Linked DNA regions of Elephas maximus indicus. The protein of the gene in region 1 interacts with the protein of each later gene in a biochemical or structural test. Links are inferred from orthologs where the notes say so. Each region holds a gene or a part of one and is shown in the gene's direction. Other genes may lie near its edges.

Evidence for each region.
Region 2: the proteins of ERBB2 (region 1) and ERBIN form a complex in vitro, tested with the Homo sapiens proteins (4 studies listed by BioGRID and IntAct, with this or other methods). The link is inferred for Elephas maximus indicus from reciprocal best matches to the Homo sapiens genes ERBB2 and ERBIN.
Region 3: the proteins of ERBB2 (region 1) and SLA2 form a complex in vitro, tested with the Homo sapiens proteins (2 studies listed by BioGRID and IntAct, with this or other methods). The link is inferred for Elephas maximus indicus from reciprocal best matches to the Homo sapiens genes ERBB2 and SLA2.
Region 4: the proteins of ERBB2 (region 1) and NCK2 form a complex in vitro, tested with the Homo sapiens proteins (2 studies listed by BioGRID and IntAct, with this or other methods). The link is inferred for Elephas maximus indicus from reciprocal best matches to the Homo sapiens genes ERBB2 and NCK2.

What each region holds. Positions count from the first base shown.
Region 1 is NC_064837.1:46,995,364-47,003,302, forward strand, and holds the start of ERBB2 (receptor tyrosine-protein kinase erbB-2), read left to right. Parts: upstream 1-4,933; 5' UTR 4,934-5,194; coding exon 5,195-5,267; intron 5,268-7,939. UniProt on the Homo sapiens protein: Protein tyrosine kinase that is part of several cell surface receptor complexes, but that apparently needs a coreceptor for ligand binding. Essential component of a neuregulin-receptor complex, although neuregulins do not interact with it alone.
Region 2 is NC_064820.1:70,759,973-70,767,723, forward strand, and holds the start of ERBIN (erbin), read left to right. Parts: upstream 1-4,748; 5' UTR 4,749-5,430; intron 5,431-7,751. UniProt on the Homo sapiens protein: Acts as an adapter for the receptor ERBB2, in epithelia. By binding the unphosphorylated 'Tyr-1248' of receptor ERBB2, it may contribute to stabilize this unphosphorylated state.
Region 3 is NC_064843.1:32,882,725-32,889,996, forward strand, and holds the start of SLA2 (src-like-adapter 2), read left to right. Parts: upstream 1-4,255; 5' UTR 4,256-7,272. Other genes in the region: protein NDRG3, read left to right, coding at 2,361-2,542. UniProt on the Homo sapiens protein: Adapter protein, which negatively regulates T-cell receptor (TCR) signaling. Inhibits T-cell antigen-receptor induced activation of nuclear factor of activated T-cells.
Region 4 is NC_064835.1:79,826,074-79,833,828, reverse strand, and holds the start of NCK2 (cytoplasmic protein NCK2), read left to right. Parts: upstream 1-4,752; 5' UTR 4,753-4,923; intron 4,924-7,755. UniProt on the Homo sapiens protein: Adapter protein which associates with tyrosine-phosphorylated growth factor receptors or their cellular substrates. Maintains low levels of EIF2S1 phosphorylation by promoting its dephosphorylation by PP1.

The sequences.
Region 1 (7,939 bases):
TTTTACAGAGGCTTAAAAAATTCATTTTTTTTTTTTTTTTTCTTAATGAATACAAGTTTCCATGATGACAAAGTACTTAGGGATGATAGAGTTAGGATTTTAAAAAATCTCCTGAAAACTTGACCTTTTACATATTTGTAGCTACTGGACCTCTTGAAATGAAAATTTAGGAAGGACACAGTCTTTTTTATTCAATCGTGAGGTAATGGGGTTGTTATTGACTACCCTTTTTTGAGCCGGAAAAGGCAAGTTGACAATGTTTCAGAGTAGTTAGCATTCCTTGGTTAAAATAAACAAAAACAGAAGTCAATAGTTTTACAGTTTGGGTTAGGCTTTTACTCCTAATTTTGGTATCACTGGTAAGAGAGAACCCCCTTGAAATCAAAGTAAGAAGTCTTTTTATATTTTTTTGACATAATGTAATCATCTAAAACTGGAGTGTCCTCCAAAGCCAGGGCTTCACCACTGCCGTCGTTTTATGCTTCTGGAAACTGCCTAGTTTTCTCCTCCCAAAACCAAAAATCAGAGGCAAGAGTGACCTCATTTACACTCTCATGGCCTGCACTTCAGCGTGAAGGAGGATATGCTTGGAGTTCTGAAGGGCCAAGGGAAGTGGGAAGACTCAGGGCTGCTGGAACAAGAAACCTAGGAGAGGGGTGGCTCAATGGGGGCTTTCAAGGGACAAGTGTGGGGCTTGGAGGGGGTCACTGTCCCCACACCAAATCCTAAAACCCTGTGACCTGGAACCATCCAGTCCAACTCATATTTCAGTCAGCAAAGTGAGGCCTTATCCAAGGCCACACAGCTAAGCTACTGTTAGAAGAGAGACCCACAGATAAACTAAGAGCACATGTTAAATGAGAACACACACAGACACTGACACACAGAAATTAGCACCATGACAACTTTGTATGCACAGGCCAGGATAGAAGTCACTCATTCCTTCATGTATATGCATTAAAGCGAGGTGAGGCGGAGGACAGAGAGGGCTTTTTCTGAAAAGCACCCTGAGGACAGAAAGGGTCCTTGGGCCTGCATTCCCGAGAGAGATGTGGGTGAGAGGGGCTGAGGGAGGCAAACAGCATGACCAGGGCCAGTGGGTCTGGCAAGTTTGGGCTCTGCCTTTTCTCTAACCCTGGGCCCAGGCCTCCCACACGATTAGGCTACAAGTATTCATACATGGCCACCTATAGTAAGGATGGATTTTCTTTTTTTTTTTTTTAAGGCTGGATTTTCTTATCAGAAGCTTCTAAGTTATTCTTCTGTGGCCCCAGGGAGGCCTTGTGTGTACTCTCAGGGGACTCTTTCTAAGTAACTGATTCACACAAACACTTGCCCAGGAATCCATGCCCCAGGCCGGAGGTTCTGTGGGGCAGGCCCCAATTTGTGGCCTGGACCTCGGACTGTGGACCGTACCCTCCCTTCTTCTGTTTGTTTTCAGTTCTCTGACCCCAGGCTGGCTGGTGAGGTAGGCAAAGGGGAGGAGACTCCGGTGCCAACACAGACAAACACACTCACAAACACACAGCTTCATGTGCTCCCCAGTTTCAGTGACCAGTCAATGATTGACTGGCATTTCACAGGCCGCTTGTTCCAGACCCCGACCTGTTGACCCTTGGAGGTCACCTTTGTGAGGCAGAGCCCTGTCTTGCCTCTTCAGTGGCAATGGTCACGTCTGCTGCCCATGGATCTAGTACCTATCACTCAAAGAGCTCATGCATCTGCCCCCCGGCTCTCAGTTTGCTCCCCTCTGTCCCATGGTCACCATTCCTCTGTACCCCAGCCTCCCTCTCCCTAGGCCCCTCACTAAGCCTTTCTCCTGGACTCTCATGCTCCTCCAACAATCCCGCCCCTGCTCCTCAGCCCTCTCTTCCCCCCTGAAACTCCCCCTCTCGTTCTTTGTCCCTCATACATCCTCTTTCCTTGGCTCTCCTGCCAGGCCCTGCTGGAGGGACAGTGAGGGGAGAATCGAATCAGCAGCGCCCACCCCTGCCCCCCTTCCTCTCCTCTTGTCAAGCAGCAGACAAGGTTTTTTCCCCTTCCTTCCCGGCTCTGAATAGGCTCATTCTCTTTGAGAGATTGGGCCCCTCTCGAGCCTCCTCCCCGGGGCGTGAGTTCTGACCCCAGCTCCTCCCCCATCCCCTCTCCTGCCCCCACTCCCTGGCTCCGGCCTTTCTCTGCAGCCCACTAGGACAGAGCTTTGTCTCCCTGGGACCCGGGATGCCGAGAGGATGGGCTTGCTGTGGAGGGGGAGGCAGGATCTTTGCGGAGGGAAGGGCTGGTAGTTACCCAGGCTTCTCTTCTCAGAGGGGTCTCCTCTAGCTCCCGTGCAGGGGCCTGGGGAGAAGGTGGGTTCAGGGAACCCACCATTCAGGGCTCTTGAAGCTGACAGTCCAAGCCAAAGCCACCGTGGTTCTACAGATGAAGTTCACCTCCCAGCTCTGCTTGTGACCTTGGACAAGTTTCTTCACCTCGAGGAATCCTGGGGTTTCTCTTTTGTAAAAGGGAACTGATCATACCAGTCTCCTCTGGTGCCTCAAGGATTCAGTGACACGAGGACTGTGGCTCTAGTACAGAGAGTCACAGCTTTCCTGACTGGATGAGCCCTTCTTTACTCTGGGGGAGAAGGGACACCTCTAACTCTGGCCCCAACCTTGACCCTAACAACCTGATGGGTTCTGGATGCCATATGTGCTCTCACCCAGGTGCAAGCCCTTGATATGGGATCAGCAAATGACTCTTGGAGCCAAGTCAGCAGCTCCTCCCTAAAGGACTGAGAGGCTGCGAGGCTGAGAGGCACACTGACTAGCCTCTGGGCTGTATGATGGGGTGGAGGTGAGAGGCTGGTTTTGCTGATTGTTCCACTTTTCCCCAGTTAGCCCTAAGACACTCCTGAACAAATAGTTAACTCCTTAGAGCCTTAGTTTCCTTAACCCTAACTCCAGAGAAAATAAGAATTTGGATGACCATCTTGAAGGGCTGCTGTATCCCCGTGCACAGCAAGGTTTCTTGAACATCTGTTACTATCATCCAAGGAATAAATCCATTTTATATCACCATCTGGGACACACACAAAAGGGCACCTACCCTTACTACGTGTGATGCTCTTATATTTTCTATTCTGTTTTAGTTATAAAAAAAAAAAAAAAAAAACTAATCTTGATATGATAGTCTCAATTGGTTTCACAACCATCTAATGGATCCTGTTTTTTTTCTTGGAGGTTTCCTGTATTCCTTTTCTTGGAGCCCTAGTGGCACAGTGGTTAAAGCACTTGGCTACTAACCGAAAGGTCAATGGTTTGAACCCACCAGAAAGATGTGGCAGTCTGCTTCCGTAAAGATTTACAGCCTTGGAAAGCCTATGGGGGCAGTTCTACTCTGTCCTATAGGGTCGCTATGAGTTAGAAACAACTCTGTGGCAACTGATATGGTATTCCCTTTCTTAAAGAGGGTGTCCCAAAACTTATAAGCTTCAGGCCCCCACAAAACCTGTATCTGCCCCAGTATAACTACCAAAACCCGTTGCTGTCCAGTTGATTCTGACTCATAGCTTCCCTATAGGACAAATTAGAACTGCCCCATAGGGTTTCCAAGGAGTGGCTGGTGGTTTTGAACTTCCGACCTCTTAGTTAGCAGCCTGAGTTCTTACTGTGCCACCAGGGCTCCAGTATAACCACAGTTGGGACTATTTATTGAGCAATTACTGTGTGCCAAGTATGGTGCTAAGTGCTTCAGGAACATTATTTCATTTAACCACTAGCACAACATGCCAGATGCTATTACAGACCCTATTTCACAGATGAGAAGACTGAGACCCAGATAGACTCAGTCTCTTGCCCAAGATCACATAGCTGATATGTGGCAGAGTGGAGAGATTTGAACTCAGGTCATTTCTGATTCCAGAGCCCCTGATGCTGTCACCACCCCCTACCTCCACCTCCTCCTGTAGAAGTGTCTGCTTATAAAGGTGCCTGGCACATGGGAGCAGTTTAAGAAATGCTACTGTCTTTCATTCTCTACCCCCTGGTAGGTGCCTCTGACCCTCTCTTGACCAGCACAGGCTTTGCTCTTGGCTGGGGCATTCCAATTAGATTTGTCAGATTTAGCAAATAAAAATAAGGATACCCAGTTAAATTTTTAATTCAGGTAAACAACGAATAATTTGTTAGTATAAGTGTGTCCTGTGCATTCTTCTGTTGGAATTTCCAGCAAAAACATGCCTTCCTTCTATCCTCATCCCCACCCCACCCCCACACCACAGGGCCTGAGGAACAGGGTCAGGGGCTCCTGGTGGAATGCAGGGTGGGGAGACGGAAATGAATGAAATAGTAAACTGCAAGGGGCAGAGAAGAAACCTTGAATGAATTAGGTGCTGGATGCCCCCATAAAGAAACAAAAGGGATGTTCTTCCAAGGATGGGGAGGTGGTCCCACCAATTTGAACGTCTCTCCCCCACCCCCATTGGTGGACCCCCTTAGGACCATGCTTTTCAGGCTGGGGAAGATACCCAAAAGATTTGAAAAGGTATCCCAGGGAGTCCCGGAAGCCACAAGTTAAATACAACACACTCCCCTCCTTGACTGTCAATTTTACTTGAGGATGTAGTGGGAAAACCATTATTTGATATTAAAACAAACAGCCCTGTGATGTGTAGGGCGCAAACTCGTCAGGAATGTTTAAGATAAAACGGGCGACTTAAAAGTGTTAAGGATGGCAGGCGGCCCCTAAAGAAGTTGCCCCAGACTCGCCGAGCGGGGAGAGTCACTGCTTTTAGGGGTTCTCCAAGGAAGCGTTTGAGAACTGCTACAGGGAACCCAGGCGTCCCAGCCCTGGGAGAGACGCTCACAGGCCTGCGCGGAGAGAGGGAGAAAGTGAAGCCGGGCCACTCCCCGAGACTTGCTGGAATGCAGTCGGAGGGGGTGGGGGGGCGAGCTGCGAGCGCGCTTGCTCCCAATCACAGGAGGACGAGGAGGAGGAGGAGGAGAACGGCTGCCTTGAGGAAGTACAGAATGAAGTTGTGGAGCTGAAACTCCCCTCGATCGTAGCAGGAGGGACGAGAAGCACCCCAAGGCCACCGCCCGCCCCTCCCAGGGTGCCAGCCCGGCGCCCAGCGCCCACCCTTCGCCTCGCCGCGCCCGGCACCCTCGCAGCCTGGTCCAGCCGGAGCCATGGGGCCGGAGCCACAGTGAACACCATGAAACTGGCGGCCTGGTGCCGCTGGGGGCTCCTCTTCGCCCTCCTGCCCCCCGGAGCTGCGGGCACCCAAGGTAGGTCTGGGGTGGGGAGGGCATGGAACAGCGACGGAGACCCTGCAGCCTGGGTAGCCGCAGAAAGCGGGGACCGGCGGGCGGGGCAGAAGGGCCCGCGAGCTCTCCGGACCCGAGCTTGGGGACAGTCGGCCGCTCCGAGCAGCTGGGCACTCGGGCAGGGAGGGGGCAAAAGAAGATGGGCCAGGGGGCAGTTACCGAAGCAGCTCTAGAAGTTCCATTCAAGAGACTGGCTCCGAGAACTTGTCAAAAGTTCTCGGAAATTATTTAGAAAGTTTCCATGAAAGGGCAGATTGCGCGGTGAAGAGCATGTGTGTTTCCCCCCTCTTGAGCCCTCTCAAGCTTTCTCAAAGCTTTTCCAGTTGGCAGCCTCCGCCCCCAGACTGGACTGGACTGGATTCCTTTGGGGGGTCCCCTCCGCCCTGTCCCTCTCCGCCCCCTTCAGTAACTAGGATTTGGTTACTCCAGCTCCAGGCAGGGTCGGTGTGTGGAGGGGGGAGGTGGGGACAGCAACCTGTTCAGCCAGAGCCGGGAGGAGAGGGCGGCGGGTCTGGCTGCAGAGTTGCCTCATACTGGGGTCTGGGCTTGTGGGGAGGGCGAGAGGGTTGTTTTGAACAAGTTTCTTTAGGGCCAGCTTGGGGACTGGGTGTTTTATGACTCTCGAAGAACACAGGGGATGGTGGAGTGGTGGTGGCGGGCTTCGGGTTCTGGGGCATAAAGGAGGAGAGTTTCAAGGAAGGGTTTCCAGAACAGTCTGGACCCGGTGGTAAGAAATGGGGCCAGGTTGGGGAATGCAGAAGGCTGGGCTGTGGAGCTGCCTTTTCCTTCATGCTGTGTGGGAAAGGGAGATGGGGGCAGTGTGTGTCCTGAGAGGGGCATCTATCTTCCTCTGTAGGCAATAATGCTGAAAGTCAAGGTATACCGGACGCATACTGGGTGCTAAGCACTAGGTATGGCATTTTCCATGCATTCATTCCTTCCTTTAATCCTCAGGACCCTATAAGGGAAGTCCCACTAGTATTACTATTTTCCAGGTGAAGACCTGGCATTAATGAGGTTTAAGTAACAACCAGTGATGGCGGGCTCAGGTTGGACCCCAGGCAGTCCCATCTCTAACTACACATGTGAAATCACCGTATTAATCTGCCTTGAACAAGGGAAACACTGCACCCTGCTTGCCGGAGTTGTGGGGAAAACCAAATGAGTGTTCCGAAAGTAGTGGGTGGTCCCCATAGGCCACGGAGCCAAGGGGTGGTGGTGTCATAGTGCCTGAGCGTTGCCAGAGGGTCAGCGTACTGCTGTGCTGAGAGTGTCAGCGTGCGTGTCTGAGGCTGCGTGTCTGGCAGGGTGTTGTTGAGTTGTGTGGTCTGGTGTGTGTCTGGGCTTTGTGTTGCCAAACAGCAATCTCCCTGCTGACTTGGGCACTTGGCTGAACTCTGCCCTCTGAAGGAACTCAAGGTGCCGGGCCAGATCGGCCGTAAACAGCGGAGGTGGCCCCACGCCTTCTCTCTGAGGAAGGAGGCTCCCCTTTCCTAGGGAGCCAATCCTTCCCCTCCCTGTTTCCTAGGCGGGCGTCCTTGCCCCTGGTGCTCTGATGAGAAGGGTGAGGCTAGGCTGGGCTGTCACGCAGGAGGGACTGGGCTGCTTCAGAGCTGGGTTGTGAAGGGTGGTGGGACTGCTGTTCACCAGGGCTTCCTCAGCCCTCATCCTGCATTGCTGGGTACAGAGAGAGAAGCTGGGTGTGTTGTGCAGGGAGTGGTTAAAACAGCACACCACCCAGCTGCCTCCAACACTCCTGTTATATGTCAGGGCTCAGGGCAGGGGCAGGAATGTGGGGGGAGGGGGATGTGGGGGAAGACCCAGAGGGTCAGGATTTTACTGAGACCCTTTCTTAGAGGTCAACGTTTTGTAAATTGCAGCAAACTCGTTCTTTTTATCATGCAGAGCTCATATTTACTCCCAGTATGATTCTCCCAATAGCTTTCTCCTTTTACTATACTTGAGGATTTAGGAAAAGTAACCTTATTTTAATATTCAAGGGGAAAAAAATGGAAAAGATAGGCTCACGTGTAAAAAGAGAACAAATTCTACATTCCAAAGTCATGTTCTCTTGGTTTGAGATTTCCCATATTTCTGCTGTATTAATGTCTCTTGCCTCAACTTCCTACGTTCCGAGTTCTTACGCACAGTTTCATTTAATCTTTGCAACAATCCCGTGAAGTAGGTGCACAGGTGAGAAAACTGAAGTTCAGAGAAGTGAAGCGACTTATCCAAGACTCCCCAGCTAGCCAGTAATGTCCAAGGCATTTTGACTCCTCTAAGGAGACCTCAAGAGTTAGTCAAAGTCTTAATTCCATTCAACAGGAATGGGTTGAGCAAAGCCCCAGTTTAGGGGCAAACATGTGCCCAGAAGGGATAGAAACACTACTCAGATTTTTAGGTGAATGACTTTTCCATTCATTTAACTAGGTTATAGAAAGTAGAGCTGTCTTCCCCAACCCAGTGGGGACCCTCCTGGCCTGAGAGTCCTCTCTCTCCCTGTCTAGCTCATGCCTGCCTTCCTCTCGGGCCCTCCCAGCATGGCAGGGGACTGAGGGCAGGATGGGAGCAGAGGCCACTGGGACACGCATGGCTATGGGCAGAGGGAGACATGGAGTGGAAGCATGAGGGAC
Region 2 (7,751 bases), on another chromosome or scaffold:
AGACTTGTGTGTCAGGGAGGAATGCTTTCACCATACTTATTTAATATGTATGCTACACAAATAACCCGAGAAGCCCGACTATATGAAGAAGAATGTGGCATCAGGATTTGAGGAAGACTAATTAACAACCCGTGATATGCAGATGACACAACTTTGCTTGCTGAAAGTGAAGAGGACTTCAGTATGGATTACACCTCAACATAAAACAAAAACCTCACAACCGGACCAATAATCAACATCTTAGTAAATGGAGAAACCACTGACATTGTGAAGGATTTCATTTTACTTTGATCCACAATCAACACCCATGGGAACAGCAGTCCAGAAATCAAACGATGCATTGCATTGGGCAAACCTGCTACAAAAGACATCTATAAAGTGTTAAAAAACAAAGAGATCACTTTGAGAAGTAAGGTGCACCTGACCCAAGTCATGGTGTTTTTAATTGCCTAATATGCATGTGAAAGGTGGACAATGAATAAGGAAGACCAAAGAAGAACTGATACTTTGAATTATGGTGTTGGTGAAGAATACTGAATATACCATGGTCTGCCAGAAGAATGAACAAATATGTCTTGGAAGAAATACAGCCAGAATATTCCTTAGAAGCGAGGATGATGGATGAGACTTCCTCTGACATACTTTGGACACGTTATTGGAAGGGACCAGTTCCTGAAGAAGAACATCATGCTTGGGAAAGTAGAGGGTCAATGAAAAAGAGGAAGATCCCCAACAAGGTGGACTGACACAGTGGCTGCAATGATATGCTCAAGCATAGTAAGGATTGTGAGGATGGCACAGGACTGGACGGTGTTTCATTCTTTTGTACGTAGGGTCACTTTGAGTCAGAACCGACTTGATGACACCTAAGAACAACGGTGCTTCTTGACTTCTTTTGAATGTAACCGTACTCTGGTCTGAGATTGATCTTCTCCAAACACCACTATGATGAAAAATTTGATTTTAGGTAACCAACTCTTTACAAGGGGTTGAAAAAAGGAGAAAAGAAGAATTATCACCCCAAACCTTTTCTTTCCTCCTGCTACTTTTGTCTCTCTAATGCTTCTGCATAGCTGCTCAGCTGGTTTGGGGAAATGATAGAGGGACCCTTTTAAAAGCACCTGGCCTTATACCCCGGTACTTTTTTTTCTGATGGGAGCTGTGTGTATTCCATGGAATGATTAAAGCCTTAAGGCATCTCCTTAAGAAGTACGGCTTATCTCTATTAGGCAGTAATTCCTTTCCTGAGTTCAACCTTTGGGAAGAAGAATCCTAAAGGATTCCTTTGCTTTTTGCAAAGAATCATTTAGAGAATAACAATGGAGAAGATCAAGCTAATCATTACACAATCGGTTAATCATTACACAATCACAGTTAGGAAGGCTTGTTTAGGGTGGGGCTTTAGTTCTTTTAATCATGATTGAAAAGTGAAGTCCATTTTAGTTCAGGGTCTTGAGGGAGAAATTTCATAAGAAACTAATCTGTAAAGCATGGAGCAGGAATGCCTGGTTATAAAAAAGAACAACTACACGATTTGGCTGTATCTGTATGTGCTGTTCATATGAGTTAGAAGTAAGTGGTCAGCGATGAATAGCAAAGATGAGTCATATACCCTGATTATATAGCTGTCATTTCACCATTTTCTATGAGTACAGATGCAGAATCACTGCTGAAGGTACAGTTCTCGAAGAACCAATTGCCTACTTTATAAAGGGATTATGAAAGAAATATTTGACAAAACATAGATAACTATTGACGAGTGTATCCTGGCTTCCACCCTTGAAGAACAGTGTTTTGGGGCTCATTCTTATATTATGAGTAAGCAACACTTATTTAACAATCAACAGGGAGTCATTTTATTGTCTCTAATCGTTTTTTTTTTTTTTTAATCGTATACTTCATACATTATTCCAAGGAATGAAACCACATTTCCCTCTCCTACATACTCAGCCTCAGCATGTATTATTTCCATTTCCCTCCCATCAAATCTGCTTTTGGGAAATAATCTGATGAATTAGATCTAAATAACTAATAAGGCTTAAAATATTACATTTTCCAGGATTATGATTTTGTGCCAGAGGATGAAACTACTCAAAGGGAAAAAACCCCAATGGCAGAATTTCAGGTGAGCTGAAGGAGGGCTTTTGGGTTATAGGGACTTCTGTAGCCTGAATGATGGTTAGCCAGGTTGGTCCTGAGTATGAGTTCAAGTAAAAAATGACTAGGACAGGGCAGGTCTTAGCCTAGGGATGTGGTCTAGTTCTACTTATTTAGGTTTGCAGTGGTGGTGGTGGTTAGGTTTACTTTGGACACCCCAAGATTTAAAGGGCTCTTGAATCAACCTGGGAAACCCTGGCAGCTTAGTGGTTAAGAGTTCGGGTGCTAACCAAAAGGTTGGCAGTTTGAATCCACCAGCTACTCTTTGGAAACCCTATGGAGCCGTTCTATTCTGTCCTATAGGGTTGCTATGAGTCGGAAATGACTTGAAGGCAACAGGTTTTGGTTGAATCAACTTGAGACTAGATTTAGCATTCTAATTCCAAGATCCAGCTGGTCTCTGGTATGGGAGATTCTTCACCCTGGAATGATTTAGGGGACTGATCCTTTCAGTTCATAGCTAGAACATCCGGCTCTGTTCAGACTCACAGGAGATTTTGGAAGTGAGGAAGAAATCTTTTCTCATGAGGATTTAAAAATTGATCATATAATATGCTAACTTTAAATTTTATACAATGGCTAAGATTCTTATTCATATAAAATGGATACCTCGCTTGGCATATATGGTTGCTGTTTCCTATTCTAGTTACAACACTCTTACTTCCAGTTAAGCACTGAATAAGCCTGAACAATCTGGTATTGATATTATTAGTAAATCTTCAACTTCTGCTCTACATTAAGGAACTAATACCAAAACCAAACCCGTTGCCGTCGGAGTAGAACTGCCCCATACAGTTTCCGAGGAGCGGATGGTGGATTCGAACTGCCGACTTTTTGGTTAGCAGCCCAGCTCTTAACTACTAGCCACCAGAGCTCCTATACCCGTTGGCGTCAAGTCGATTCCGACTCATAGCAACCTATAACGGCTCCTTTACCAGGGTTAATTCCAGCAATGGGGGGTTAGAGGTGGGAGGTGGGGTTAGTTAAAATGCTCCCGCCCCTAGTAGAATGTCCTGAGTATCTTTAGGGTTATTTCAAGTGCTTTTCACAAGTATACAACTCACTTTGGTAAATGATTCTTTGATGGTTTTTAATGAACTCCTCCCGTTGGATGCGCGCCAAAAATCATCTGCAGGGTATTCAACTCTTTATTCATACTTGGTAATAAATAATTATCTCTGTAACGCAGACGGAAGAACTGAACCAGTGACTTCAGGGACCCAGAGACTAATTACCATCACTGTACACAGTTAAGCACAGCGGGGGTAGGGGGTGGGGTGTGTGGTTTGCTCAGTATCTTTTCTTCTCCGGGTAAAACAAAGCCGTCTTGCCTGTTAAGGTATCTAAAGCAGCAACTGCAAAAAACAGTGCGATGTTATGGTTGAGGATTTCTGTGCCATATGTGTTGACACAATCCTTAAAAATCTCTCTCCGCAATAAACGCAAACCCTGCCAGGCTGAATTATTAGGGCCAACGCAATTCACTGCACCACCAAAACCGCTGGGGTTGGAAGCCTACGTCGCATTCGGAGTATATCCAATGTTTCTTCAAACAAAGGCACTATCTTGAGGCAATTTCGCGGGCCATTTTCCTCCTTCCAGCGCCAGCTTTGTCTCCCTGCCGGTGTGAGGCTGAGAACTGGAGGAGCCCCAGCTGGGTGGCTGTGGGAGCAAGCTCCGAGCAAGGGCCAGCGTGGGAAGCTTCACCGAAATGCCGCTGTGGTTTCCTGCAACCTGAGCGTGCCATTAGCGGAAGTTGGAGTGCTGCAGTTGAAAGAGATACCTGCAGCCTTCAAATCGGGGTTGGACTTGGACAACCTCTCCGCACCGATTACTGTCGTACAAAGAAACTCAGTCAGCTGGGGCGGCGGAGGCCTGTGGGCTCTCGGTCTCCGGGGCTCAGCGCGGCGCTGCGAGGAGCCGGTCAGGGTCCGCGTCTGCACCGCCACTCCCCTCGGACCGCTCAGGAGCGGGTGTGTGCGGGGTCGTGGGGCGGGCTGGGGAGAGGCAGATAGGCCTCCCCGGGGCCCTTCGCCGCGCAGCGACTCACTTGCTAACCCTCGGCCGCCGACAGCCCCTCCCCCACGGCCCCGCTGCCCCTCGCCCGCCGCCCCCCGGCGCCGTCGACGTCGGCCGCCCGCCCCCGCGAGCAGCCACTGGCTCGCGCCGACCTCCAGCCCGGCTGTTGGCGGTTGGGGCGAAGACGGCGGGAGGCCGCCCCGCCCCCGCCGCGCGCTGCTGCTTCCACCTCGCCGGGGCGGTGGCGCTGTTGCTGTCGCGGCCTGTGAGGCAGTAACTCCTCTCCACCCCAGCCCCTTCCTCCTCCTTTCTCTCCTCTCCCTCCCTCCCCTCCCCTCCCCTCTCCTCGCTGTCCCTAGCTCGAGTGAATGTGGCGCGGCAGCGCGGGACGCAGCCTCGGCGCCTGCCGCGGCCCCACGAGCTCGTGAGGAGACGCCGCCGGCTGTCCCCTCCCCCTGCGCTTCTTGGGGGAGCCACAGCCGCTGGGGAAGAAGAGCGCTGAGGGGAGCGAAGGGACGGCGGCGGGAAAACCGGGGAGGGAGCAGAAGAGGGTCCGAGGACGGGGAAGGGAAGGCGGGGAGGGACGGACGGAAGGACGGACAGCCCGACGGACGGCCCGGGGAGGGGTCCGCCAGCGAGTCTCCCCGGCCCCTCGGTTCCGGCTCCGGGCGGCGGCAGCAGCGCGGGCGAAGGGCGCGGCAGGCGCTATCGAGACAATAACCCCGCCGCCCGGCTCTGGGGGCGGCGGCAGCGAAGAGGAGGTGGCGGCCTAGTGCGGCCGAGGCTCGCCGAGCACCTCGGCGGCGTCTAGTACCGCGTCGGCCGGGTTCCGCCTCCGTCGGGTGTACGGGGCGCCCGGGGCCCGAGCCCCAGGCTCCCCGCGGACGCCCCCTCCCCGGAGTGCGGGGAGCTGGTTTTCCGGGTTCCCCTGGACGGAGCTGGATCCTGCTTCTCGCCGAGGCAGGAAGTGAGTTTCGCACGGTAATTCCGGGCGTGTCACGAGTGAGAAGTCTCCCCCCCCTGCGGAGAGCCTACTTGGGGCTGGGAAACTCCTGCAAAACTCGAGACCCGGAAACCAGCCCGCATCCCAACCCCCACCAAAGCAACCTACTCTTCTTACTGCGGGAGGCCGCTCCACATCCGCTCTCACCGGAGGGAGAAATTCGACTGGATCCAAAGTGACTCATGAAGGAAAGGAAATCATGTCAGGCGAAGCCTTGAAAAAGCTGCCCTGAGACACTGCCCGACCGAAAGGTAATTTTCACGAAAAGTGTCTAGAAGTCACAAAGTTCGTGGGCCAGGAAAGACTTTAGTGTTTCTCACTTTTCCGCAAAGTTGCCCTAAATTCTCTTGTAATATCGAATATAGTTTAGTTGTTACATAGTACTGAGGTTCCCCCCCCCCCCCACTTTTTTCCCCTCTACCATCTAGGCTCTGGTTATTTTAAAAGATTTTAAGAATGCGGTGGGACGAAAAGTTCTCTGCAGTCCGAAGAAAGAGTGCCTTTGTTTAGCACAAGGTGCAGAAGTTTTACTTTTCCTGAACATATACAATGTATATTTTTTTTATTAAGTTGCTGAGTCTGGCAACTCTTGTTTTGGAAGAAAGGTCGCTGCAGCGAGTGGTTCGCTTTTAAGAGATGGCAGCCACATTTGTTCATACTGTTACCGATTATTTTGGTTAATTATATACAGAGACTTTGTAGTTCAAGCCCTTATAAATATATTGGAGCTTATTAACAAAAACAAAAAAGCGTTGCCATTCTTAATCGTTTTTCTGGGCGGGTAATATATTTCTTTAGGTAATAACTTGTTCCTTTCAGACGTTTAGAACCTTATAATACTTATTTCGTTAATTGAAAGCAAGTATCTGTTAGATTTTTCCTGTAACTGTCCTAGTAGGAAGAAAAAGGAGGGGGTAGGGGTTATGGATGAAGAGAGGTATACTTAAAAAAAAAAACAAAAAACAACGCACCTGTAACTGGTTTGATTTGCGTGCCAGGACTTCTTTGCAACTGAGAACCGAATGTGTAGGAAGAGAAGTAAAAGGACTTTCGTGGAAGTCACATTGATTTTGATACAAAGCAGTACTTTTTGAATAGTGCAGTATTTACATTTTTGTATTGCCACAAATGTTTTTACCAGGTTCTGCTTAATGCCAGGTACCTACTGAGGGGGAGAGATTCATGAAGCATGGCAGACGTTCCACCAGTCAGAGTTATGAACACTTCTGAACCAATGGGTTGTCTTCTTAGATAAAACTAGTTTTGGTTGCCGGAAACCCGGATTGTTTTTTCAGTGGTGTTTTACTGTGTCTGTGTTTTGAAGTTTAGCTTTTCCCGGTACTTTTGTGGTAAAGGGGGGTGAAGATAATATACTGTGCTTTTGAATAAATATTGGATAAATACAGTATTCCGTTGGTAGGTGTATCTTTATAAATTTATGTTTTGCTTGCCCATGAGACCTCAAGTAGTTACCGGAAACCTGAGGAAAAAGTTGCCTTTCTTTAGTTCAAAGAAGAGGTGATCTTAAAAATCAGAATCAAGTATTTCACAGCTTGTTCTTTGTTACTTTACTAACCACATTTCAAAAAGTGAATCTTTTAATTTTTAGTATGTATCGTTTTAATATTTTCCCAGAGCCTAGTCTCTAGACCTGTGTGTGTTTGTGAACCACCAAGCAATTATTATTACGTCAAACTAGCTTTATCAAGGAGTTTAAAATGCATTACTGATTTACTTTGTGATTTTGGAATGTATGGTTAGGCAGTGGAAGAGGTTATTCTTGGGCATCTGAAAGAGCGGAACAAAATAAATGACATTGAACTTCAGTTTCCTTATATGGCTTATACTTGGCCTCAGAGTACCAAAGTCTTAATAGAGCAAATCTTTTACAGAGACTTAACTTTGTGAAGATGTTTCTCTATATTAGTAAATTTTATTTAAAAAAAAAATTGTAGCACCTAAATATTTAAAACCGGTTATAAGCTATAGTTCTTGACTTTTTTTCATTGTTGAGGGAATAGTAGTATGTTTAGATGCAGGCAACACATTTTTAAAAGTGAGGTGCTCACCTTTGTATCTGTGTTTGGGTCCTTTTTTTCCCCCTCAGCAAGGTGTAATTTGTGGTTCACTTAGAATTCTATGAGTTTAGTGTTGAATTTTAGGTTTATGAATGAATTTTAGGTTTTAATCTTGTCAAACAATAAATATTTTAAACTCTTTTTTAAAAATATAGTGACAAAGGTTTGAAAAGATACTTGTTTTAGAGAGACAATCAGTTCAAGTATTTTAAATGGCTTCAAAAATTTGGATATTCTTAGTATCGTGGGTTTTCTTGGATTAAATTAGCAAATATAGAGTACTTCCAAAGTGTTTTGCTTATATTGCACAAAATACATATTTAATGGCTGTTTGTTGAAGGTAATCATGTTTTCATTAGTGATGTATTTAACTCATCCGTCAACTAATCATTTCAAGTAGTAAGATACGAAGTCAGCCTGCTGCTTGTGATCAAGCTATTGGAAATTTTCCACATATGAAAGTTTGTGGAGGCTCAAATATGGAAACCAAATTT
Region 3 (7,272 bases), on another chromosome or scaffold:
GTCAAGTTAAAACCAGAACATTTATAGACCATTCATCTTGTGCTTGTATATAAAATGAACTAACACTTACCTTAACAGTTACCTGGGCCAGGCAGTATATATTCATTGTATCACTTAATCCTAACAATAACATTAAGAGGTAAGTTCTATTATTAGTCTCATTTTATAAAAGAGGAAACTAAAGCTCAAAGAGGTTAAGCAAATTTCCCGGTGGAACATGTACGCTGCACAGCCATGTTTCACACCCTAGCAGTCTGGCTCCAGAGGCCGCATTTTCATCCACTAAAGCTGAGGCTGTCCTAGCTTTGAATATGAAATTATGATTTCATAATTTATTAATATATTAATCAGCTGATTAATTACTCCTGGCCTAGGGAAACAAACAAACAAAAAAAAACTAGTGCCACATAATTTATTAATATATTAATCAGCTGATTAATTACTCCTGGCCTAGGGAAACAAAATAGAGACTGCAAAAGAAAAGGGTAATGTTCTCAGTTAAGTCTGCTCCACCACAGAAGGTGAACTTGCAGAGTATTTTAGAATAAAGTCCAAAGCATGTGTCTGCCTTATATTCCACTGTCCTGGTCAATTGTATTGTGTGACTCCTGAGCTTTCTCAGTTGGCACAGAATATCCACACTTGCTCCTTTCTTGGAGTTTTAAAAAGGAAAATCTTTCCATCCGGGTACAAAGCTCTTTACCCAGTAGAGTGATTTTTTTTTCCCCCGTGTGTTTGGTATTAGTGTGGATAGTAGCCATGGTGAGCTGCCTATCAGCTGCCCTGGGCAATAGCTGGGCACCTGGATGTAGCCTGGCACTTAGCAGGCAGACTGTGTATGTCTTGTCTGGAGTGGCTGTGTAGTCCTCGTCTGTGAGCTCCTAAAAACTGAGCCTACATCCACTTCTAGCAGAATTCCCTCTTCTAGCCCATTCTCCATTTCTTTTTCTAGAAAACAGCTTGTCTTCCAGCCTATTTATGATCCAAAGCAAGATGACTTTTCATAGTGGGTGGGAAAACAATTGCCCTTGACTGGTTGAGAGAAGTAGCATCTGAGATGCTATTCAACCTCAGCACCTCTCTAGAACCTTAAAATAAAATTTCACCCCTGGCTTAGGGTATTCTGTCAGTGTCTATTAGGCAGCCCAGGTTGCCACTTGGCACTCTCGGGTCACTAACCTGCCTTTTCCTGTGTCCATCCTGCTTCCAGTCCCGTATGTGCAGCTCAGTCACCTGAGCACCGAGTCAGGTACCATCCTCTGTGCTGGCCCTGCCCCTGCCTCCCAGCCATACACCCTCCTGGCTGCACTGGCTGCTTGCAGCATGTCCGCGGTTTCCCGTGCAGTGAGAGCCCGATAGAACGTGGCTCATTGTGCTTGAAGGTTAGCCTGCAGGTCTATCCCGAGCCCCCCAGGAGGAAGAAAGGAGAGGGCTATAAGGCCTCTCATCCCAAATCCAGGATCACAGCAGAAGCTGAAACTTCATAGCTTTTAGACATGACCCCTCTTCTACCACCGCCTATTGATCCTTGAGTTAACACCCAGGCCCAGAGATTGTAGGGCAGCCTTAACTTTAAAATAGGAGTGTCAGAGCCTGTGCCAGAGAACTCTGCAGGTGATGGCATCTTTTGACCCCTCCCTTGAAGTGACAGCTTGGATAGTGGCTGGTCCCTCAGGAGGCTAGGCAGGGAAGTTATGCCAGGTAAGGCCCTGTCCTGTCCAAGCTGGAAGGACCTTCGAGTCAAAGCAGTGGCAGAACAGAAATCTGGTTAAACACCTATCCCCAGTCCTTTTCCCTCCTGGGCAACCTTACCTCACTCCCTGTGCAGAGGTCAGCTCCAAGCCCATCTGCCCTTCCTTACACCCTCACCTTCCCTCCATGTTTCCTCCCCAGACAGTAAGGGGAGTCTGTGGTCATGGATGGTAGTCTCGTTGTATCGGGCTTGCGCTGTTTGTGAAACACCTTCATACTTACGTAGTTTGTCTTTCTTTTCTTTGGTTTAGTCTTGCATGCACTACAGGTTTTGGTTACCTATTAGGATTCCCAAAACCTCCTCCCTAATAACTGTATGAATAGTGTGGGTGCAGCTAAGAGGCTATACTCTGGGCTTAGGGTTTCCCCTTGTTCTGCTGTGGACTAGAATTAGGGAGATTCCAGCCAGATCCAAAGGATTAAAGCAACCTTGCATATAACCACTCACCTAGAGCAAATAGTGCAGAGTGGGGATGGCTATATCTTGTCCCTGGGTGTCACCTTAAATGGATTGGGAAACCTGAACATAAAGCCTTTGGTGAAACTTACTGATTTAGCTGAGCTTAACCAGGGCTCCACCTTCTAGTCCTCTTGGTTCTTTCTTACAGTACCATCTGCCAGCATGACTCGACTTGCCCGGTCACGAACCCATTCAACCTCGAGTAGCCTGAGCTCTGGAGAAAGTCCCTACAGCCGGTCTCTCATCAGCAATCAATCAGATGGAACTCAAGGAGTCCCTGAGTCCTCTGAGGACCCAGACAAACAGGAGACCATGGAGGTGTCCTGCTAAGCAGATGCCCCTCCCTTGGACCACGCAGATCCATCTGATCACTCCATAATACAACATTTCATCCAGCAAACTGGCATCTACCATTTTTAACTCATGCATGGCCACTGAATCCCTCTCTCTCTGGTAGCCTGAATTGATCATTCTCTCTGCCCGCCTACCCCCTTTTTTGTATGTATCAAGAACTACGTCCATGCCATTACTATAACATTCCAACATCTTTAGCGGGTCAAATCTCTGTATCTTCTCTTTCCAGCTTTGTCCTGCGCTCCGATAAGATTCTTTGATCCCAACTCCGTGTGTGTGCGAGCACACATCTCTGTGTTTGTGTGTACATAGTCCTGTGATTTTAGACACGCTTTCTTGTAGAGCTTCTGCAAAAAACAAAAAAAGGGACTTTTTTTGCATTTTCAATGATGTTTTTAGGGGAAATGTGCAGAACAGATTTCTCTGTTGTGTAGGCCAGTGCATTCTCTTTTGGTTCCAAGTTGTTCAATAAGATTTGCAAAGTGACTTCAGAAAGGGGAAATTCTGAGAAATGTGGAAGGTCACAATTACTGTTTGGACCTCTGATTGATTGTGACCAATAAGAGGGTGCCTATAATATAGAGGGAAACCCTGGTGGCATAGTGGTTAAGTGCTACGGCTGCTAACCAAAAGGTCGGCAGTTGAAATCCACCAGGTGCTCCTTGGAAACTCTACTGGGCAGTTCTACTCTGTCCTATAGGGTCGCTATGAGTTGGATTCAACTCGGTGGCGACGGGTTTTTTTGGTTTTATTACATAGAGAGGTGGGCAGGGTGACCAGTCACCCCTTTCTCTCCAAATGAACTCACAAAATACTATTCTATACATAAAAGGAAGGATATATTCTGCTGGAAGTCCATGAAAAATAAGATTTTGATACAATGTGGAGTTTTCCCAAGGTGTGAGTGTGGCTTAATTACTGGACTCTCTTAGCACAGAAAGGTGGAAAACAAAATGCCAGGTCTTGGCTCTGCAGGAACAAAACGTCTGTCACTGCATGTCGGATGCCACTACTACACAAAGCATTCATAAGAAATGCGTCCCATGTCTGTAATGGAGAGAGAGCTTTTTTCCATCCCTCGGTCCCCAAAAGAGGGACAGGTACGGCCTAAATATTATGTAGGTGATGACAAAATGGGTGGAGGAGAGGGGCAGACATTAACATAATATCATGTTTAATGAATAGAAGCCAAATTTATATCGAACTCATTTCTGAGAAGGATTCTTAATCTCTTGAACTCCCTTTTGTAGTAGGAGAGAAGGGACCAATCTGTAAGGGCAACCCTGTCCATGTTTTCAGCCTCCTGTCCACTGCTATGTGAAGGGTCACAGCTAGCCAGAGAATATCGCTGGGAGGAGGGTGATAGAACCATGCAGAGACCATCTGCCACACAGCAAGGGCCCAGCTCCTGAGAGCATCAGATGTAAGCTCAGGGTTACACAGGTCTGAATCTTGGGAAGGGACTTTTCAGACACATTGTTTGCTTTCTGCTGAGATAGGGAATGTGTCATTCTGTCAGAGTGTGACTTTTTAACAGATTATTAAATAAAGCTGTATATGTCTCATTGTTACCTGATCACTGGTGTTATTTCTTTCAAGCCACTTATTGGAGCTCAGGGAGAGACTGAGTTACTGTATGCTGGCTCCATGTTGGGCATTTTCACGTGATCACTTACTCTACCCAACAAAACTGTCCATTTACAGTAAGGAAATGAAGATAGGATAAATAATTTGCCCAAGGTCACACAGCCAGTAAGCCAAGCCAGGATTGAACCCCAGGTCCATCTGACATGCCTATATTCCCCTCAAACCAAAAATCGTGAGAAGTCCAACTGTTCTGTTTGTGAAAAAGAAGGTGGAGTCTTGGAAAGGCTTTCCATATCTCAGCTCCACCATGTCTGCAGGATTGCTCGTCTCCATCCCTTGTGTAATAATCTGCAACCACTTGTCTGGGTTCCTCTAAGAAACCAGGCTATATTTCTTAAGAAATGGCTATCTTTGTACCCACCAAGAATAATTTTATGAGCCCATTATCTCAAATCACTTTTGAATGACACGGGGTGTAAGTAATCCTTGTGCTACCGTAAGTCCATCCAGGTTGCTGTATCCACTGTAGATACGCATGAAATGACATGGACCCTGCCTGTTCTGATAGAGAGGATGAAACAAATGCACGTGAACAGACAGAGATTACCCAGCCAGTGCTCTGCACGGTTCTGAAGCTGGAGTTGCTCTGATGGCCACAACTGCTCTAAAAATCCACATTGCTTTAACCTTCTGAGCCCCATGTGGAATGGATGGTGGCCTGCTTTCCCACCTTAGACTTGTCCCTGTAGTTAGGCCCTTACCTTACTCATTCATCTTATTTTCATTTTCCCTCTTCCTGTTCAGTAACAAAAAAAAAAAAAATCAAGTGCCTGCTTCATGAGAAGCAAGGAGGTGGCCAAGTGAACTCAGGTAGGTACATAAGATGACTGTACCAAGCTCCCCCACATACCTTGTATCCAGCTCTCGTGTCGACCCTGCAAAGTGGGCGGTGTCTATTTTACAGACACAATGGCTGAGGAAACTTAAGCAATTTGGTCAAGGCATCTAGCTTGAAAAGTTAGTTTCCTATTCTTCTAAAAATCATCTTATCACATTTTCATGTTTTATTTGGCCTTTTATTGAGTACCTACTATATACCAGGCACTTAGCACCTTCCTGTAAGCTTCCTTTTATTGATCCAATGAGATACATGCTATTCCCATTTTATAGATAGGAAGACAGGCCCAGAGTTAATTTATATATAGTCACAAAATTAATTAGTGGCAGATCAAGGATTGTAAACTTCTCTTTCTAATCCTTAGGTGCCTCCTTAAGTGGAAAGGGACCAATATGGTCGAATTCTTTTAAGAAGAACTGAGAGATGATCCTTCCCTACTTCCTACCTCACTCATGGACTTCACCTTGAGGCTAGTCTTAAAAGCCTGCCTTCAGATAAGAATGGCGGCATCAGTGGTATGGAGGCAAGAGCAGTTGTCTGGGCCCGTGCTCACTATCCTCCCTGCCAAGGGCCACATCCTTGAGTAGCTGTCATCCATTCTGACATCTGATTAGAACTTTGTTACAGAGAATGTGCCTACACTTGCCTCTTCCAGCTCTGTGTGCCATCTGTCTGTGAAGTTAAATTTCAAACCAATCTTCCCCAGGAGAAAGGCAGAGACTGAGGGACCAGCAGAAACATTGAGAACCTGAGCTAGAGGGTGCTCTAACTGGTAAAAACCACCAGAAAAGGCTGAGAAGTCTGAACCAGAGTCAGGAGCCATTTCAGTGCAATGGACCCATGTTGTGTTAAAGAGTATCTGTCTCCAGGAATACTTGGCCCCCTAAAGGGGAGGCAGCAAGTGGGTATGGTTCTTTAAATTTTAATGAAGTGGAGAGGGAAGGTAGCACAGCACTCAAAGACAGATTCTTTATCCTAGATTATCCATTGCCAGTGAGTCTGTTCTGACTCAGCGACCCTATAGGATAGAGTAAAACTGCCACAAGGTTTCCAAGGCTGTAATCTTTACAGAAGCAGACTTCCATACCTTTCTCTGGTGGAGTAGCTGATGGGTTCAAACCACTAACCCATTGGTTAGCAGCTGCTTAACCACTGCGCCACGAGGGCTCCTTATCCTAGATTAGCGATTCTCAAACTTGGGCATGCATCAGAGTTGCCTGAAGGGCTTGTGAAAACATCCCTGGGCCCCACCATCTGTTTCTGATTCACCGTATTTGGAGTGGGGCCTGAGAATGCATGTCTAACAAATCCTTAGGTGATGCTAAGGCTGCTAATCTGGGAACTACACTGAGAACCACTGTCCAAATCTTGCTACTCAAAGTGTGGTCACAGACCAAAATACTGGCATCCCCAGGAAGCTTAAAATGCAGAATGTTGAACTCCACCCCAAACCTACTGAATCAGAATCTGCATTTTAACCAGATTCCCAAGTGCTCCCTTTATACATTAAAGGTTGCCAATCAGAGGACTCTCTTGGAGTGCTGAAAATTTAGATGCCTAGGCTCCTCTGGAGACTTAGATTCAGAAGGTGTGGGAGGATTCCAGGAATCTCTAATATTAGCAAGCCCTTCAGGTGATTATTATGCTCAGGCAAGTATGGGAAACCTTGCTCAAACTCTGCGTTCCATTCTACCTCGGTTCTATGTTCCTTGGACAAGACCAAACGACAAAGCCAGAGAAAAACCTCTTGCTCCAGGATCATGACAAGGCAGCAGCTTCTCCCTCAGAAACAGGAACTTGGGGAAGGTGGCTCCTCAATGGTCTGTGATGCCGTCAGAGGAAACGAGTGGTTGTGAGAACCACAGAGTCTGCAGATGTGAGCTGGGAGCTCCAAGAACCCTGCACCCATAGCTCCTGTGACACAGAGCTCAAAGAGCCCTGGGCCTTCTTCCTTGGCCTGGCTCTGCTTGGGAGGGATGCCCAGTCTGATGATCCCTCAGAAGCATGAGGTTCTTGTCCCATTCCAGGTGCACAAACTGCTGACCACAGGCAGATGCTGAGCAACCCAAACCGATACCTGGAGCCTCTCCCTGAAGACTCCCCGGCTAAGAGAGTTCTGGGTCTCCTAGGACCGAAGACATTGGCAGACTTCAACAAGGGCATCCTCCCAGAGTCCTGGCTTGTCCAGCCAAACATGCATCTTAGCTGAGCCCCCTCTCCA
Region 4 (7,755 bases), on another chromosome or scaffold:
ATTTTTGACCTCCAGATTGTGACTGAGAATAAGTTTTGTGGTTTTAAGCCATGCAGTTTGTATCGGCCCAGGGAAACCAATGTAGGCTTCTTAGGGCTAGATTGCCCAGTCTTCCTTGGAGCAAATGCTCACCCCTTGTGTGATTAGAGGAGTTTCAGCAGACTGCGGTGGGAAACTGGGAGCTTGAGGTGTGCGGTCACCTTACAGAAAGCAATTTGGCCTTTGTTCTGTTTTTCATAGCTGTACCAACACCTGAGGCTGATGAATGGGGGCTGATCTGACCAAGAGGGATCACCTGAGTGCCCAATGCTGCCTAAGCCTCACAGGCATGATGTAATCTACCACAGCCACGTGGTGAGGCTGATAAAGGCCCAAGGCTCAGAGGTGCTTCCTGGCTTGTGACCATGTACCAGAGACTAGTGTGTTCTTTGGGACGTGGAAGCTCTGTGCTGTGACCCATCCCAGGCCTCATCCTGTGTGTCTCTTCATTTGTATCCTTTTTGGTTGTAATAGAGTTGTAGCTGTTAAGTATGGTGCACTCTCCAGGAGATTTGCTGAGTCACTCCAGTGAATTGATGAACCCATGGGGCAGCCGAGAGCCAGGCGGGCTTCTGTCTGCCTATTTGGCAATCTGAAAGAAGGTGTCCTTCTAATGTGTGAGGTCTGACCCATGACCTAGCACTAGGTGGGTAGGGCCCAGTAATGCTGCATGGATAGCTGGTCTGAAATATGGTATCCGTGTAACTTGTGGGCTCTGACGCAGCTCTGGGTGGCTAGCGTGGGAGGGTATGCCTGTGAGTGGCTGGTGACAAGAATGGAGAAGTGGGAAGTTAAGGACTGAATCCGTCCCCACACTTTGGGAATCGGACTCTTGTTGATGCCGGTGGCATGTCTAGGGTATCGCCCTGGTCCTGGGTGCATGGAGCCACTGGACAGTTTCTGTTAACTCGGTACGGCCCAACGTACTTCCTCAAGCACCCAAACCCAAACCCAGTGCCGTCGAGTTGATTCCGACTCCTAGTGACCCTATAGGACAGAGTAGAACTGCCCCATAGAGTTTCCAAGGAGCACCTGGCGGATTCAAACTGCTGACTCTTTGATTAGCAGCTGTGGCACTTAACCACCATGCCACCAGGGTTTCCTCCTCAAGCACAGTAACGTGTTAATTAAAAGATGAACAAACTTGACTTGTATTTTTGAGCTGATTGAGCCACCGTGAGTCAGTCGACTCAATGGCAATGGGTTTGGTTTTGGTTTTTATTATAATAGAGTTATTTAAAAGAAAGGTGTCAGATGTTTGGGCAGGGGCGCCATTTTCTGTAGGTAGCCGCTGGTCGTGATGGGTTAATAGAAACTTTCAGTGGTGCCAAGCACCCACAGGTGGTACAATACCTGCCATACCAGCCATACCCCAGTTCTGCCTCTGCCAGTTGATCCGTACCTTGCAGTTAACGATGAAGGCAGGATCTGCCCAGCGCCACTTGCTTAGTGCAGGTGCCATGAGAGGCTTTTGTGCAAGGGGAGGGGCAAGAGAGAAGCCGGCTAGGAAGACATTGATATTCCATGTAAATCTGGGGGATGGGAGGAAGTGAGGTATGGGAGGCGAGTTGGAAGGTAGTGGGTACAAGAGGAAAGAACAAGAGACTTAGAGTCAAGAACATGAGGGTTCTGTTCCCAGCTCTGGCACTTACTTTTTCAATTTTTTCATCTGTAAAATGGGGATAATATTGTATGTGAGTTAGAGATAATATATGTAAGGAATTCAATAAATACACATTACAATTATTGTTAATGATATAAATATTAGGATGGTGGCATTGGAAATAGAAAGGTACTATCAAAGAGATGTTTAAGAATCAACAGGACTCAGAATCACAGGAGTTTAGACCGAAAGCGATCTTAATGTCCTCTAGTGCCGCCTCCTTACTTTCCTTGGGGAGAGCTAAAACAGTGGGGATGAAAAAGTCCTGGCAGCATGAGCTTTCTACCTTGGGAGCCAAGGTGCATGGTGCACTCCTGGGCAAGCCTGAGAGATGGTGGGAGAAGGAGCTAACTCGGAAAAGTGATGAGTTCACTCTGAACATGCTGACTTTGATGAGACAACGAGTGGCCTACAGGAGAGGTCTTCTGGGCCGCTGATAGTAAGGCATTGGAGTGTAGGTAAGAGATCAGGGCTGAGGAGGTATCTAAGGCTACAGAGCTAGGAGTTATTGGCTGAAAGTCCAGCTTGCAAGATATAAAAAACCATTGTCTCTCTTAAAAAAAAAAAAATCAGAATAAAAACAAAAGGCCAAAGTCAGCTTTGGGAATATTACGGTTACAGGTTGGGGAGTCAAAATACCCCACAAAGAGACAGATGGGTGGGCAGAAATGTAAGAGAATCAGAATTAGTCATTTTAGACAAATGAAAAGATGATCATGTTTGAAATATAGTAGAAAGGACACGTTTCAGAAAACTGTACAGGATGACGTTTGAGGAAAAGACCACTGGGTTTAGACAGAGAACGCCGTGGGTGACTTTAAGAAATTACCAGAGGAAGAAGAGGAAACACTGGGTGAAGTTCACACATCCATGATTCAGTCAAAGTTTACAAAACAAGTAAAAACTAGGTTGATATCATTATACTTATTTTGAGTACGTTCATTTAAAACTGGGCCAGACCATGACTGGACTTCTGTTTTACTTATTGTAAAGCTGTTGTTGTTGTTAGCTGCTGTCAAGTAGATCCGACTCATGGTGACCACATGCACAATGTGATTGGGCCATCGTGATCCATATAGAGTTTCCATTGGCTGATTTTTGGAAGTAGATTGCCAGGCCCTTCTTCCTAGTCAAAATATTAGTAAAACAAGGTTTTCACAAAAGGATGAATCCAAACCAAACCCATTGCCATCAAGTTGATTCCAACTCATAGTGACCCCACAGGACACTGCCCCACAGAGTTTCCAAGAAGTGCCTGGTGGATTCGAATTGATGACCTTTTGATTAGCAGCTGTAGCTCTTAATCACTCTGCCACCAGGCTTTCCTTAAAGGATGAATGGAGGTCGCTTTTTTTCCAGCATCACTGCAGAGAAGAATGAAGATGTCCTGATTCCCCTAGCCCCTCCCACCAGAGATTGCTTAATGGGCACCACCTACTGCCAGGGACTGTGTCAGGTGGGTTAACATTACATTCCCATCTTGCAGAGGAAGAAACTGAGGCGTAGAAAGGTTAAGAGATAATTTGTGCAAGGTCACACAGTTGGGGAAACCAACAGTCACTGAATTGACTTCAAAACCATACTGACTCTAGTTACCTATCCTTGGATACTTCCTTTAGGGAACGCGATGGGATTTGTGAATCAAATAATACTACCCCGTCACTTTGGATAGATCATTACTGCTTTAATAATAATGGAGAAGCCAAGAATCTAGGAAAAAATCTTAACATGGAGACATGCCATCCCACTAGGACATCAGGATTATTTGCATGTTCAGGTTTCCTTTGGGAAGCCATATGGGAAGGGGACTGGAGAACAGACATCTGCACGCAAGTGCCTGCGAAAGTGAAACTTCTGTCTTTGCTCTTCCTCCGGGGTTTTAAGCTTCCAAGTTTGTTTACAGGTAAGCGGCAACTTGGTGCTGAGTGAACCAGTCCCCCACTAGTGACAACTCCTTCTGGGCCCACAGTCAGGCAGCTCCTTATGGCGTTCTGTCCTCGTGGGTGAGTGTGCAACCAGAATCCAACTGGCTCGAGCTGGTGACGATGCAGGGGAGGCAGCAGAGTTTGGGTTTCCTCTCCTCCCCTTAGGAAGTGCCTCCAACAGGGATGATGGAGCAAAAACTTGTCTGGTTAGGAGTGTAAACAGATGCAAGACAATCAAAAATATCCAAAAGCAATTACTGGGAGGCAGTGACATTTTTATGTAAGTCACTTTTCTGATGGACAACAGACCTGCTTTGCAGAGTGCCTTGGGGACGCTTCCGGGAGGGGGACAGTGGCCAAACAGTGCACTGATAAGAAAATCGAACTAAAAGGATGGGAAAGACGACCCTACCAGTCATTTAAGGCTGGAAGTTGCTGCCTTATGTTCATTCTCGTGCCTCACTCCCAACGGTAAAGGTACTTTCTTTTCTCTCCGCACATGGTACCGCGTTTCTCCCAGTATTTACCCGTCGCCAAGCGGCTCGCGCGCCACCCAGGCTGAGTATTCCCTTGCGTCCCTGCTATTCTTTTAAGCGTTCCAGGCCCTGGGCCGCCGATCTTCCACAGGGCCCCCGGCCGGGCCCGACAGCCTGCCCGGTGTCCGGTCCCGGAGAGGCGGCCGGAGGCTGGGTGCGGGCACGGATCGCACGCGGGGCGGCGGGGCGGGCCCGGGAGAACCCTGTGAGGAGGTGGCCGCGCCCTGTGCTGCCCGGGCGCCCCCAGGTGGGTCTCGGCGGCCGGCGCCCCAAGCACCCGGGGCCTGCGGCCGCCCCGCACGGCGTCAAGGCGCGGCCGGGGGAGGAGCGGCAGGAGGAGGCGGAGAGGGCAGCGAAGGGAGGGCGCAGAGGAGGAAGAGGAGCGGAGGAGGCGGGAGCTGGGCGCCGGGGGAGGGGTTGCCGCCGCCGGGGCTTCGTCAGGCTGAGAGCCGCGGCGGGCGAGCGAGGCGCGGAGCAGCGGGCGAGACGGGCGGGCGGACGGCCGGGCCTGGACGCGGCAGGGCCGAGGCGGCGACAGGGCTCAGCGGCGGCCGGGCCGGGGCAGCGCACGCCGGGCCGCGGGAGGGGGCGAGCGGCCGGCGGCGGCGCGAGGAGGGAAGCGGCGCAGACAAAGAGCGGCGTCTCCCGGGTGCTGAGCGCGGCCACCGCCGGGACCCCCGCGCCCGGCCCTCCGGGCGGCGCCGCGCGCGGCTGCCTCTCTGCCCTCGGCGGGCGGCGGCCCGGCCAACCCCTTCGCGAGGTAAGCGCCGCCGCCGGGGAGCACGGCCGGGACGGGCTCGGGGCGCGGGGGCGCGGGGGCTCCGCGGCCGCCGCAAACTTGTGGCCGTTCCGTGGAGTTGGGAGCGCGGCGGGGGCTCGCGGGGCGGGGCTGCGCCTGGAAAGGGACTCGGGGGACTGGGTTCCCTCTGCCCTCTCCACCGGGTCCCCGGGCCCTGCCGCGCGCGGCCTGGGGCGCCCCCTGCCCCGCGCTGTCTGCCCCTGGGGTCGGGCAGGGCTGGGCGCCGCACTTCGCAACTCCTCACCTTTCTTCTCGCCTGCCCGGCTCGGGCCCCTTCGCCGCCGACACTCCTGGAGTGTGGGCACTGGCCGTGGGCAGGCAGGAGGGTGCGGGAGCCGGGGGCTGCCGGTCGACCCCGCGAAGCTGGGACTGACTGACCCGGGGAGCTGGGGAGCCCCGGGCAGGCAGGGAGTAAGCGGCCTCCGAGCCAGCTGCGGGGACGAAGCTCGGGGCCGGGCGTGGGCGTGCGTCCTCCTCGGGGTCACAGCAGGCCCGTGGGGGTGGCCGGGGTCGCTGGGGCGCGTGCGTCCTCGGGAAGAACAGCCCTGGATTGCAGGGCTCCTGCGCAGGGGACGTGGGAGGCCGAGCTTTGCCGAGAGAACTTACTGTCCTTATTGGAACTATTTATGAATCCCCGCACAAAGCTGCTGTCATATCGCATAAAAGAGGTCCTCGCCTAGGCGAAGGGCGCTTTTGTGGCGGATTCAGCCGTGTCCTGTCCCAGATTTACTTGATTCTGTTACAGCCACCGGAACCAAAGTTTCTCATCACAGCTTTGCTCTCCTGGCTTATTCAGGACGATTTAAGTACGAAGTGGTTCCGAAGAATTTGGTGTGTGACTCCTAAGGCATTGACTGTAACTCCCTCACCAGCTTGGTTTTTGGGGGATATTGTATGGAGGGGTTTAATTTGCAAAACGCTTTAATTTGTAGACAATAAAGATCACCGTGGAAGGTCTGCGGGGGACGCTGGGGGTCACTGGCTGATGAACGTCAGACACCTGACTTAAGATAAACACTTTAACAGCTTCAGGGTCAAAGCAGTAATGTACCTGGAGTCTGCCTCAGCCACTTCAGACAATTCGGTTTGGCAGTTTCCCCTTTATTTGGCTTGTTTATTTTGCGAAGAGGTTTAAGGTCCATTCGGCCAAGTTTTCACCCCATCAGTTGGCTTCTCCATAATCAGTTGGCTTCTGCATAGTGCGAGCAAACCCCAGTGCTGGGCAAGAAAGGCTTACCAGCATCAAGTCCGTCTCCTTCCATTGACCCATAAAGAAGCTGCACTCTGGCCAGGTGGCTCCCTTTCCACCCACAGGTAGGAGAGTCCCCAGTCCCAGGACAGCCCTGGCTTCTTGAAGTAGATTTTGTGTAGGAATGAAAATTCGGGGTGTGCTTTGTGCCACTGTTTTTGATACAGTTGTAAACAGTACTTCTCAGTCTTAAGAAATGAAGGAAAAAAAGTGAAAATGAAATTTACCTGGGGCTGCTTTAATTTATCAGAACAGAAGTAAACTTTGCCTCTGAACACACTGGTAACTCACTCGCCAAATGTTCCTAGGTAAAGGGCAAATAAGAGAATTCAAGCATGTGCGTGGTTTATATAAATAAATGTTCATGATAATCAGTGGTAAACGTGGAGAAGAAATGTGGGATGTTTGGGTCTGTTGTTGGGTGCTGTCTAGTTGATTTTTACTCATGGTGACTCCTTGTGACAGAGGAAAACTGCCCCATAGAGTTTTCTTGGCTGTCATCATTAATGGCAGCAGATTACCAGGTCTTTGTCCCATGGAGCTGCTGGATGAGTTCAAACCACCAACCTTTGGTTAGCAGCCAGGCGCTTAACCATAGCGCCACCACGGTTCCTGGTTTGGTATAGATAAATTGGTTTTTAGATGTTGTTGGAGACAGATTTTCTGACGAGTGGGTGTGAACACGGTTTGTGAAGAAGTGACCACACCTCGATATTTCTCTCTCCTCAAGGTTGGTTTGATGTAGTTTTGATTGAAGAAAGTGGCAGAATCTTAATGGTGGTCTTAGGACGGCTTCATGCTGGAATTCAGAACTTGAAGCCAGTTGTAAGCTTGTGGAGGTGCCTTACTCATCTTCCTCTGCACCTGGGCCTGAGCTTCTTAGCTGCTGGGTAAACACTGAACTGGATTGTCACAGAATTCAGGATGTAGCTGGTGGCAAATTGCCATAGGAGAATTGACTGCTCCTTAAGCCCTGTGTCCACGAGGGGGGAAACCCATACTTTTTAGGTGGGTGAGGCATGTCTAAGGTGCATTTTAAATAGCTGTGCTCAGTTTCCTATCTGTTAAGAGCTAGCTGCCAACCAAAAAGGTCACCAGTTGGCATTGACCAGCTGCTCCTTGGAAACCCTACAGGGCAGTTCTACTCTGTCCTGTAGGGCTGCTATGATTCGGAATTGACTGGGCAGCAGTGGGCCTGGTTTTCAGTTTTTTTGATGCTCAGTTTCCAGGCTTTGAATTTTGCTCGATGGTAAGTTTTGGTCAAATCGTTATACAGCTGCATCCTGAATCTTCTCTGTCAGTCTCACCTTCTGGCGTTTGCGTAGGGGGTTATTGTTTTCCAACAAGCAGCAGCTCTTGCGTACACAGTGTTTGAGAAATGAATTATCATCTATGTTAAAGCACTGGAAATTCTCTGCATGTGCGCAGACTGGATAACCTTTTAAAATACTCTAAAGACTTCCTGATCGCCTGGAATCTTTTCCTTTATCACTGACATTAGCTAGATTTGCCCCGGCTAGGCCAGGGCTGTGCTGCTGTATAGA